Linked DNA regions of Drosophila melanogaster. The gene in region 1 interacts genetically with each later gene. Each region holds a gene or a part of one and is shown in the gene's direction. Other genes may lie near its edges. The genes, in order: sbb and al.

What was found.
Region 2: of sbb (region 1) and al, changing one enhances a phenotype caused by changing the other (phenotypic enhancement), as found in Drosophila melanogaster (one study listed by BioGRID).

Annotation. Positions count from the first base shown.
Region 1 is NT_033778.4:18,354,132-18,359,030, reverse strand, and holds the start of sbb (scribbler), read left to right. Parts: upstream 1-1,734; 5' UTR 1,735-1,893; exon of another isoform or gene 1,894-2,975; 5' UTR 2,976-3,531; intron 3,532-4,899.
Region 2 is NT_033779.5:376,004-381,191, forward strand, and holds the start of al (aristaless), read left to right. Parts: upstream 1-2,108; 5' UTR 2,109-2,478; intron 2,479-5,188. UniProt on the Drosophila melanogaster protein: Involved in the morphogenesis of proximal and distal pattern elements in a subset of appendages. Also has a role in early imaginal disk development.

The DNA of each region.
Region 1 (4,899 bases):
TTGGCCCCCTGCCTGTTCTACGGCCTGCAGGTATACGGCATTGCTGCGAAGAGTCACCTTAATAAGATCCGGATCTTACAGGCGAAGACCTTAAGAAGAATTTCGGGGGCTCCTTGGTATATGAGAACAAGAGACATCGAACGCGACCTCAAGGTGCCCAAATTAGGAGACAAGCTCCAGAACATCGCCCAAAAATATATGGAAAGGCTTAATGTACACCCCAACAGCCTAGCAAGGAAGCTAGGAACTGCAGCTGTGGTCAATGCTGACCCTCGGACTAGAGTCAAAAGAAGACTCAAGCGACACCACCCTCATGACCTCCCTAACCTGGTTTTGACCTAGAAAGTCTTAGTTTTAAAATTCATTAGAATAATCAAATAAATAATAATTACTATGTTATATCAACTATTATAATTCTCCCTATCATTTTTAGGATTAAAAATCTGTTAGTCTTAAGTAACCAAGACACATTGTAAAATAAAATAATTTAAGCAGATCAAATTAAGTTGCCGCATGGGTAACAGTGCGTTGATCAAATAATAAAAACATCATCGAAAAAAAAAAAAAAAAAAAAAAAAAAAAGACAAATGTAATACAGTGCTCAAATATACAAATATTTAAACAAATAGGCTTGTACCAGCTTAACCTAAGCGCTCCTGATCTGAAACTTGGGCTGAGTGGAACTTATTTGCCTTTTGCATCGGCGACTGCTAAAGGCAACTTTCAAAATGCTGACGACGAATTGAAAATGCTCATGTTCTGCAATGCACCCTATATATGTAAATGTATACATATGTATGTATGTATATACAGCAAGGATATTTCTTGCCCATCATCATAATAATAATAAGGTGGCACAGGAAGGCGAGAATTACCACTGTCAAAGTTACACAAAGGTCAAATGGAACATTATGGCTTTATTTTGCGCCTAATAAATCTCATTATGTCATTATATGCTACTCCCCCAACCGCCAGCCCACCAACGAAAAAAAAAAAAACAAGGAGGAAATGGTCTTTGGTCGAGGAGATGGTGGAGGTGGTGGTGAGGTGTGTGCGTGTGCCTGCCAGCGTGCGTGTGGTGAGAAGGTGAAAGACAATAAGAAGGAGCAAACGGAAAGGAAGAACAACTACAACAAAAGGCAACTGACTATAGGCGAACGACATGCCAATCAGTAATCAATCCTCAGGACCCCACCAAAAACAATTTGCAGAGGCATAGCAATAACAAGAGCAACAAACGCAATAACACAAACAACAACAGCGGACAAGTGAGAGACCACACGACGGCACTGTAAACAAATTGGAAAGGGATGAACATACATAACTGCGCAATATGGCGTCGGCAGAGCAAGAGAGCGGGAGAGGGCACTAAGAGCGCACGAGCAAGAGCGAAAAAGCCGCCATTAAAGAAATGCCGCTCAGAGACCGTTTGTGTATGTGCATGGGAATGCCAGTGTGTGCGATGTAAGCAGTGGATGTGTGTGTAGAAAATGCCGCAGGGTTGTCAAGTGGCTGAGAATATTAACAAGTAAATAATCTTTTTATTAGTAAATTGTAACTTTATTGCTTTTAAGAGTTTGAAATCGCGATAACTATATCAGAGAAGCATTCGACTAAAAACAAGAATTCTTTCGGAACCATATAATTACCGAAATGTATTTGTTATTTTTCCCCATATAGCCGACAACCCTGCGCGTTGCTAGCCAACTCTCGCCTCTCAATTTATGCGCTTTTGTACGCGTTGCTCCTTCGGTTCGTTCGGACAGCACGGATAAAACGCTGTCGCCAAACAAAAACATAAAAAACACTGAGCGGATCAGGTTCTATCTTTAATTAAGAAAAACAACATCCCAAAAACAACAAGCAAGAAGGACTAAAATCTGTGGAAAAGAAGTAAGCAAAGCTGTTCCCCAGTGTGATTTCCTCATGTGCATTTAATGTAATTCAACTCGACAACAAAATAATAAGTGTTGTTGGCCTCTCGCTCTCTGGTCGTACCGCGTATCTGTGTGTGCGTGATTTAGTGTTTCGTCGCGTTTCAAGCAATTAACCCAAAGCAACGTAGAAATGCCAAAAACGCATTAAAAATTATTACTCGTAGCTGTCTGTCATTCACAACAGAAAAAAAAAATGAAAAGAGAAGAGTAACAACAGCAACGAGAAGAAGGAGGAGAGCGACAATCATACACAAGTGCTATTTGCCGCTACTCATAAAACAAATTACCCACTTGGGCCTGACTTGTGCGTGCGTTTGTATGTGTATCTCTGTGTGTTAAAAGAGCAGCGTAATCATCATCGCCAAAAAAAAAGGAAAAGAAAACTACTAAAAAGTAGTAGTAAAAAAAGAAAGGAAAAGGAGACGAACCAAAATGAGAGTGTGGCACTGGCAATATGTTGCTGCCAATAACAACAACAGCAACAGAAGCTTCATCAGTTGAATAGTACCGGAATAAAATTACTATACAGCCACTGCATGTGCTTGTGTGTGTGTGTGTGTGTATTGCGCTCTCCCTCTCTGTCTCTTTCTTTCTCGCTCGCACTGCCAGCCGCTGTGTATGTGCAAAGCTTTTTTATGTTTCGCACAAACATTGCGGTAAAAGAACGCCGACAAACGACGAACCCGTCGTCGCTTTGTCGCTCTCGCCAATTTCCGCGCGTGTGCAAGGTGAAGTCGCGTCGCGTCAGTCCGTCGGTCGTATAGTCTCTCTTCGTGTCCACTTCTCCCCTCGCTTGCCGTATCTCTGTCGTGCAACAACTCCCCCGTGTATTTTTTTTCTATGCCCCAAGCTCTGTTCACCGCCTCTCTTGCTATGCATGTACACGTGTATGTGTGCGGTGGAGCAGCTTCTGTTCTGCCAAATACATATGTACAGGCGGAGAGAAGGCAAAGGCAACAGAGCTTGGACACGCGCTCCCTCTCTCGTCGTCTCCCTCCCTCGCCTTACTCAAAGTGCCGTTTTTTCGTGTATTTGTAGAGAAATAAAGAAAAAAACAACAACTAACCTCATAAAAAAGTTCATACATTTGTCGCAAAAAAAAGAAAAATAGAAAAGAGAAGCAAATGCAAAAAGTGTCAAAGAAGTGAAAAACAAGCAGAAAAAAGAAGCAGCAGCAATAGAATCCAGCAGAAGCAGTGAAAAGCAGAAAGAAAAGCCAAGTTTGACTCTCTCTCTCTTTCTCGCTCTTACATAAATGGAAAATAATTCCTGAGATTGCGCTGCTAGGAAAATTTTGCGGATTTGCATTTCACCTTCCGTTAGCTCCGGGAGCTGGGAGTTTGGGAGTTTCTTTTGTGGATTATTACGCCCTCTCGCGTGCTCTCTCACTCTCTCCCCAAACCCCCCTCACGATAGTCGCTCACTGTGGGTGCGAGCAAGCCAGGAAGCAAAGGAATCATCACCTGCCCATCGCCACCCACTGCTCATTGCCACCCGACCCCCGAGCCTTCTCTTCATCTTTTGGATGCTGTCTATAAATCGGGAACGCGCATATTCAGAGCAGAAATTGCGACTATTTTGGATTTATAAAAAGGTAAGTTACAGTAATTATTATCGAATTTAGACTATCTAATTAATTTAATTTACAATTGTAATAGAGTTAATAAACAAAGAGCCAACATTTAGCTGCAATAAAATCTCTATTGTTTAAGTTTACACATCTCTAAGATACTCCACACTTTCTCTCTTGCTCGCACAGCACAGATACCTATTGAGTCAGAAGGAGAGCAAAGAAGAGAGGGAACGAGAGGGCATGAGCCTAAATTGATTTCCAGTTTGATTAATTACCGCACAAGTATTCGTGTACACATTTTTTTTTTTTCATCGAGTTAATGCCAATTAAGGCGTTTCAATCTAAGCCGATTTGTAATTAAATGGAGTTTTTTCTTGTTATTTCGAGCGATTAGAAAATTGACAGGCCGGTTGGTGTGCTTGGTTTTTTTATTATTTATTTTTTTTTTTTGTATTTTGTTTGTTACCTTTTTGAGATTTATTGAAGTGGATTTAATTTGGGTTTTTGTTCGGCACCAATGGAATGGAATTTCGTTTTGCAAGCGTAATGTGGGAAGACAAGCGGAATTCGCGGGTCATCAAGAAGAGCGATGAGAAAGGGTGCAGCGGGGGGCATGGGAATCGTTGTCGAAATGGAAATGCGAATCGGAATCACGCTCACCTAATGAAGCCTGCGGCGACGCGTCAAGCGAACCGAATGGCAAACAGCGCGCAGCCGAACGATGAGCGATAAACAAAACAGTGGAGCGGGGGTGGGGGTGCAGGTGGGGTTGGGGCATTGATTGGGTAAGGAAGGGAGGGGGGCGTCACTGGGCGTGTTTTGCATTTACTCGAATTATGAAAATGAATATCGGGTGTATGGTGCTCTTTTTCCAAATGGAAAAGTTACATTTCACTTATTTCCCTTTCTTAAAAATATGATGTTTCTTAAGTGAAAATATTTAGTTTTATAAAAAATATTACTTAAAACCTACTGGTTATAAACTAATACTATGCTAATCTTTCACTGCCCACCTATCCATTTGGTCATAAATTAAAACCCATACAAAATACATTTCCTTAACGAGCATTTCTACTTGATTATACTGCTTATCTGTGCAAATTTAAATTCGCTTCTAATTCCGGAAGCAAAATCTCCGTTGCCTTATCTTAAGTTTATTTAAATTTAAGTTTATATAGTTGTAGATAGGGTTGTTGTTTGCGTTTCTCGTTTCGTTTTGTTTGCTCATTTCTCGATTTAATTAAGTAAACATTGCAGACGCATTTCGGGTAAACATGCCAAAAGTGTTTATTTAAACAACTGTTTAGTCATAAATGCATAGATACACTTGCCGATATGCACACATAGCTACAGATACGCACACGCAGATACAATTAAGCGACTATTAGG
Region 2 (5,188 bases), on another chromosome or scaffold:
AGATAGGGAACGGGCGAGCTGACTTGGCCACTTGGCTGCAATTTGTTTGCTATCAGCCAGGAGAAAAACGGCGAACGACTTATGGGGGAAAAGAAGAAAAAGGAAAACGCGCAGCAGAAATAAAATTATTTAATTGCGCAATTAAGTGCACATTTGTAGCGTTTTGCGCGACATCTGTCCCATGTGCAGGAGTGGATGCAGACCCACAGCCACAGCGCGGAGTCGAAGTCGGGACCGGAAATTCAATTGTTGAGATAATAATTACATTAGGACGTGCGCGCATGCGCGACTCTTTCACTTTAAGCCTCCGTCTCTTTCGCGCTGTGGAGCGATCTGAGCCTGCTTAGAGTGGACCCGAATTGAGTCCGAACGGGGAAGAATGTCCACACGGATGTATTGAGACAGAGGAATACCTAGTACTAGATCCATTTCACCGCTAAATTACGAAATTTCCCTATTCGAATAAACCATCAAATATCCTCTTATAAGCATATATGCTGCGGACTGAATCTGTACATATAAAGACCTGACAATTCTCTAATTTGGATTCCGATTAAAATAAATTAAATGAAGTTCAATTGTGAGGATACCATCTTATTCAAGGGTAAATACATCAAGCCCTTGCTCTTCCCGAACACTGGGTATAATAAGTGCACACCTTGCGCGACGGGCTGATTGACACGGCCACATGGGGACGAGAGATACCGTGCTCGGTACCAGATATTCCCGATCCCGGTCCGAGTTTGCTGTCCATTGAACTCGTCGGACAAATGGTCACTCCTCGTCCGTCGACGGTCGATGGTCGCTGGTCTTTTGTTTGCATTTCGCCCGTAAATGAAGCGTGAAATTGGCAGCAGTGCAGCGGACTCGATCCAACTCCGACTCCAATCCCTATTCCGATCTGCAATGGAACTCGGAGAGCGTCGCATTGTTTACTTCTTGTTAAGGCCCGACAATGGGATAATATGGCCATATAATGGCAACACCAAACTATTTGTATGCAATTGCCATTAACACTTTATTTATTGCCTTGCGATACAAGCAAATTGGGCAGCGAATGATGGTCGAAGGAGGGGGACGCTTCCAGTGCAAAATGCCGCTGGAATGGATCTGTGGATGTATAAGGCCCGCTTATATAAAGCCTAATGAAGTGGTTATCAAGGAATGGAATCTGTTAGGTCTGCTCGGAAATGGCAAGAGCTGGGCTGAGTTCAGTTTTTCATCATGGACGGAAAACATTTTTCCTTGGATTACATTAAATTACGAAGATGGATGTGATAAAAATGATGTGATGTACAAGCCTATGGCTTGTATTTCACGTTGTATCAATCTAAATCAATATTCACTTATTTAAAAACTATCAACGGCTTTTCCAAACATCCTTCATTCAAATTTAACTTGAGTCATCTACATAGCTGGCTCATTGACCTTTTTCTCAAGTTATTGCCCTTCCCCGCATGACACCCCCACTCCGATGGGTAAGCAAAACAGTCTACAGTCCGACAATCATCCAATAAAGCCAACAAAGTCATTAACGAGGCCCTTAACACTACCAAAACGGTCTATATGGCCGGTTCCAAGTCCCCACCCCAATACACGCAACTCTTTTTCCCATATGTCTTGGCTAAATTATTTAATTTATGAGCCGCAACAACTGGCAAATGCATCTATGGCAACCAGAGGAAAACGCGTTGAGCTGGGGGGCAAATAAATTTCCATTTTGCTAATCAAATTTATTGCACTTTGTGCGGGGCTTATTCAATTACGCCCAATCGAAGAGGCGCGAGAGAGAGGGCCATGCGGAGCGACAGAGAGCGGTAGAGAGCAGCTCCGCCATTATTTCGCTCCGTCGAATGCTGCTTTCCCATAGGCCGAACCGCCAGAAAGAGGCGGAGTCCGCCTCCCGGCCACCTGCCGCCTCACCTGCGACACCTGCGACGATCGATCGACATGCTCCGATCGCATCGCTCCCTCTCGCTCTGCGGCACTACGAAACACTAAAAACACTGGGAGGCCAGAAAACCACTCTCGCAACATTGGAAAACAACAACTCCAACCGGTTGTTGTTTCAGACCCACCAGAGTTTTCACCTGCGCGCCAACTGCTCACCGTGTAGTTTGCTGCCGGCTCTGGAACAGCCCGGTCATCTCGTCGCGTTCGGTTCCGATTCCGATTCGAATAGTCGAGCTGGGGATACATTGTTGTTTCCGGGTTAAAGTGCGTACGATTGCGGAAGTGTCGGTATCCTGCGCGTAGTACAAAGTTATACCCATCAAAGGTGTATCGCGATCAAAGTGAACGCTTGGTACTCGGTATCTGGTTGTTGGAAGAAGTGGACAAAAGACCGTCGGCAAAAGTTACTGTTGGTGAGAGCTACAGGGCTTATTAGCCCGGTTAAATAGGAAGAGAGAGATTCAGAAGGCCAAACATTATCAAGACCATCCGTACAATATCTGGCGATTAAGGAGGAGAAGGAAGGTTAGTCTCAGACATTTTATCAAAAATATATGAAACATTCTTTGGACAGAATAGGATTTGTTATATCGAGAGCGTGCATTAAACAGGGAATCCTAGTTACTGTAACTCATAATTTTTTATCACAACCGTAGTCATTGCCTTATATCATATCAAAGATAGGGATTTTCTTAATCAAGCAATTTATATAAATTTTGTTTTAGCCCTAAACTAATCTTGACCCTTTTCCGCCACTTCCGATCCCCAAATCACATAAACTTATTATCACACCTTGCGAATAACCTACTTCTCAGCATGATAGACAAATACTACAAGTATAAGCCATAAATGAATTTCATAATTCACCTGTCTAATCATCCCAATCAATGTGAAGAGGGAAAAATAAAACGTATGACGAGACATAAATATCATTAAATTTGATTAATTTCCCACCTGGACATATCAAATCAGACAAATATCAAGCCAAATCGTATCATCGCTGTAGAATAGAATTTTATTAACTCAATTTTGAGGGTCGAAAGATTTCGCCTTTGCCTTAGCTGATAGTTCGATAAGTTTATCGCTGATTGGTTTTAATTAAACACCATTAAAGAGTACAAATTGTCAGCAGTGCAGTCAGCGCCAATAAATCACGTTTTGTCTAGCTGATGTTTTTCCCTTCTAGAGGTGGTTTTGGTCGAAAGTTGGGGGCATAGTCTTATGCTTGTCCCGTGTACCTACAGAATAAATGAAATTAACCAGCCACACCTATCACCCGCCGATAATCTTGTCAAAAGCCACTGACCACTTAGCTTCGTGACGCGGACGAGGGCCCCGAATATATAGTGAAAATAACACAAATATAGACAGATATGTGGGTCCTGATAAGGCAAAGGAAAACCGGGACCCTCTTTCCTGGTGATAATCGGGCACTTGGCCAACTGATTTAATTAATACTTATAACTCATGTGACTTGTCAGCACAAGTTTAAACGAATTTGTGACGCAAGTTGGTCGCAGTGTATTTGTATCTATGAGGTAGCATCATTCCCAATAGATAATACCGAAAAGATTCGATAAGATTGTCCCGTACAGCGTAAAATTAAAATATGTTCTCCACCGAAATGTAGTTCAATTCAATTACGGCAACATACAATTAAAACTTGTTGCCAGATACCTTAGATACTGTATCTTGTAGATATACACCCGAATTTTTGGCAGCTATCTGAACACGAACTCTGATTTGATTTGATTCGCTGTTGTTCGATTGCTCGACAGCTCCCAATTTGGGGCGCTGTCTTTTGAAGGGATGTCGGTTGATTGTTGATCGTTGATGGCAACACACCCCCCGAGAGAAATCTTCTCCAGCGGGAAGATGGCGCCAGGGCCCTTTGAGATGTGCTTCATTAATTCTTGTCCCCTGCCCCTCGCTAAATGGAACATGCAAACATGAGAAATTAACGTCGTCGTCCACAAATTGCCCACCGTCTGCCTCGGATTCGCTTATCAAACCACACAAGACAATGACAAAGGGCAGGGCGGAACAGTCGAAGATGGAGATGGCGTCGGGCAACAGTTGTCCAATCCCCAGATCCCCGATCCCCGAACACCGATCACCGATCCCCGATCCCCTCCGGTCCCAATTTATAGCTCCTCACTGCGACTGCTGTTCTTAACATGCTTTTTATGAGTAATTGGCCCCGCATCAACATCACCAACACGGGCTAAGCTTGTAGCTACAGCATCGCCATTCACCATCAACAACTTCTTGGTCTTCTGTGTGGGTCTTGAGTTGCTGATCCTGGCTCTGAGTCACAATTTGAACTTGCGTCTACCTTTGGACTACCGTCCCGGCACTCTGATCCATTAGGGTGGACACGGGGTAATTTTTGCTACCTGGGAGCGAATCTCGAATGCCCTTGGAGAGCTCGAAATCCATGTGTCAATACATTTTTACCCAAAAGTTCAAGTACATACAATTTTTATTGTATTTAGCTAATAGATAGTCTCAAATGGGAACGTGTTCTGCCTGTAGACCTAAAACTTTAATGTATACCTTAAATTGTAGACATATTAGGGATTATATAGGATAAGTAGATCAACAACTTAGTTGACCAACTTCATTCACCAGGCGTAGGGGAAGGGTACTAGACCCTTCGTTGCAACTTCGTCTGATAGGCAGTAAATTGAATTAAGATTGTGGAAAAGAACAACAAATGAGGCAGCAACTTCGACACAGGATATGAATAAACTAATTATAATTGGGAGTGTGTGCATTAGAGGTCCATAACGTACACCCCAGAACAAGAGGTACAGAAACAGACGATGATGACGGCGCCTGGCCAACAACAAGAATGCTGCCTTATCGCACCTGGTCCAAAAGACGGCGCCAAGAAACAAACAACCCAACAACTGGAAGGTGAATGGAGGGCTCAGGTGCAGCTTAAATGAGATAAACACTACGGAATTGACTCGACTCGGCCCAGCTCAGCTGCTTGTGATATTAGTTAAAAACATTTCTGGGTGACTTACAAGAGCTGGTCGAAAATAATAATTGGTCTTATCGAACCAAAAGTAAACGACCAAGCTTGGAACGTCGCTGGCCAATCCGTCAACTTCTCCAGGGGACCACCAAGGGACTGGTATCGGGGGCGATCATTGAGCTTTCGCTCGGGGCCAAAAGTTAAGCCACCCAAAATGCTTGCCATTATCGAAGAACCGGAGGCGAAATTACA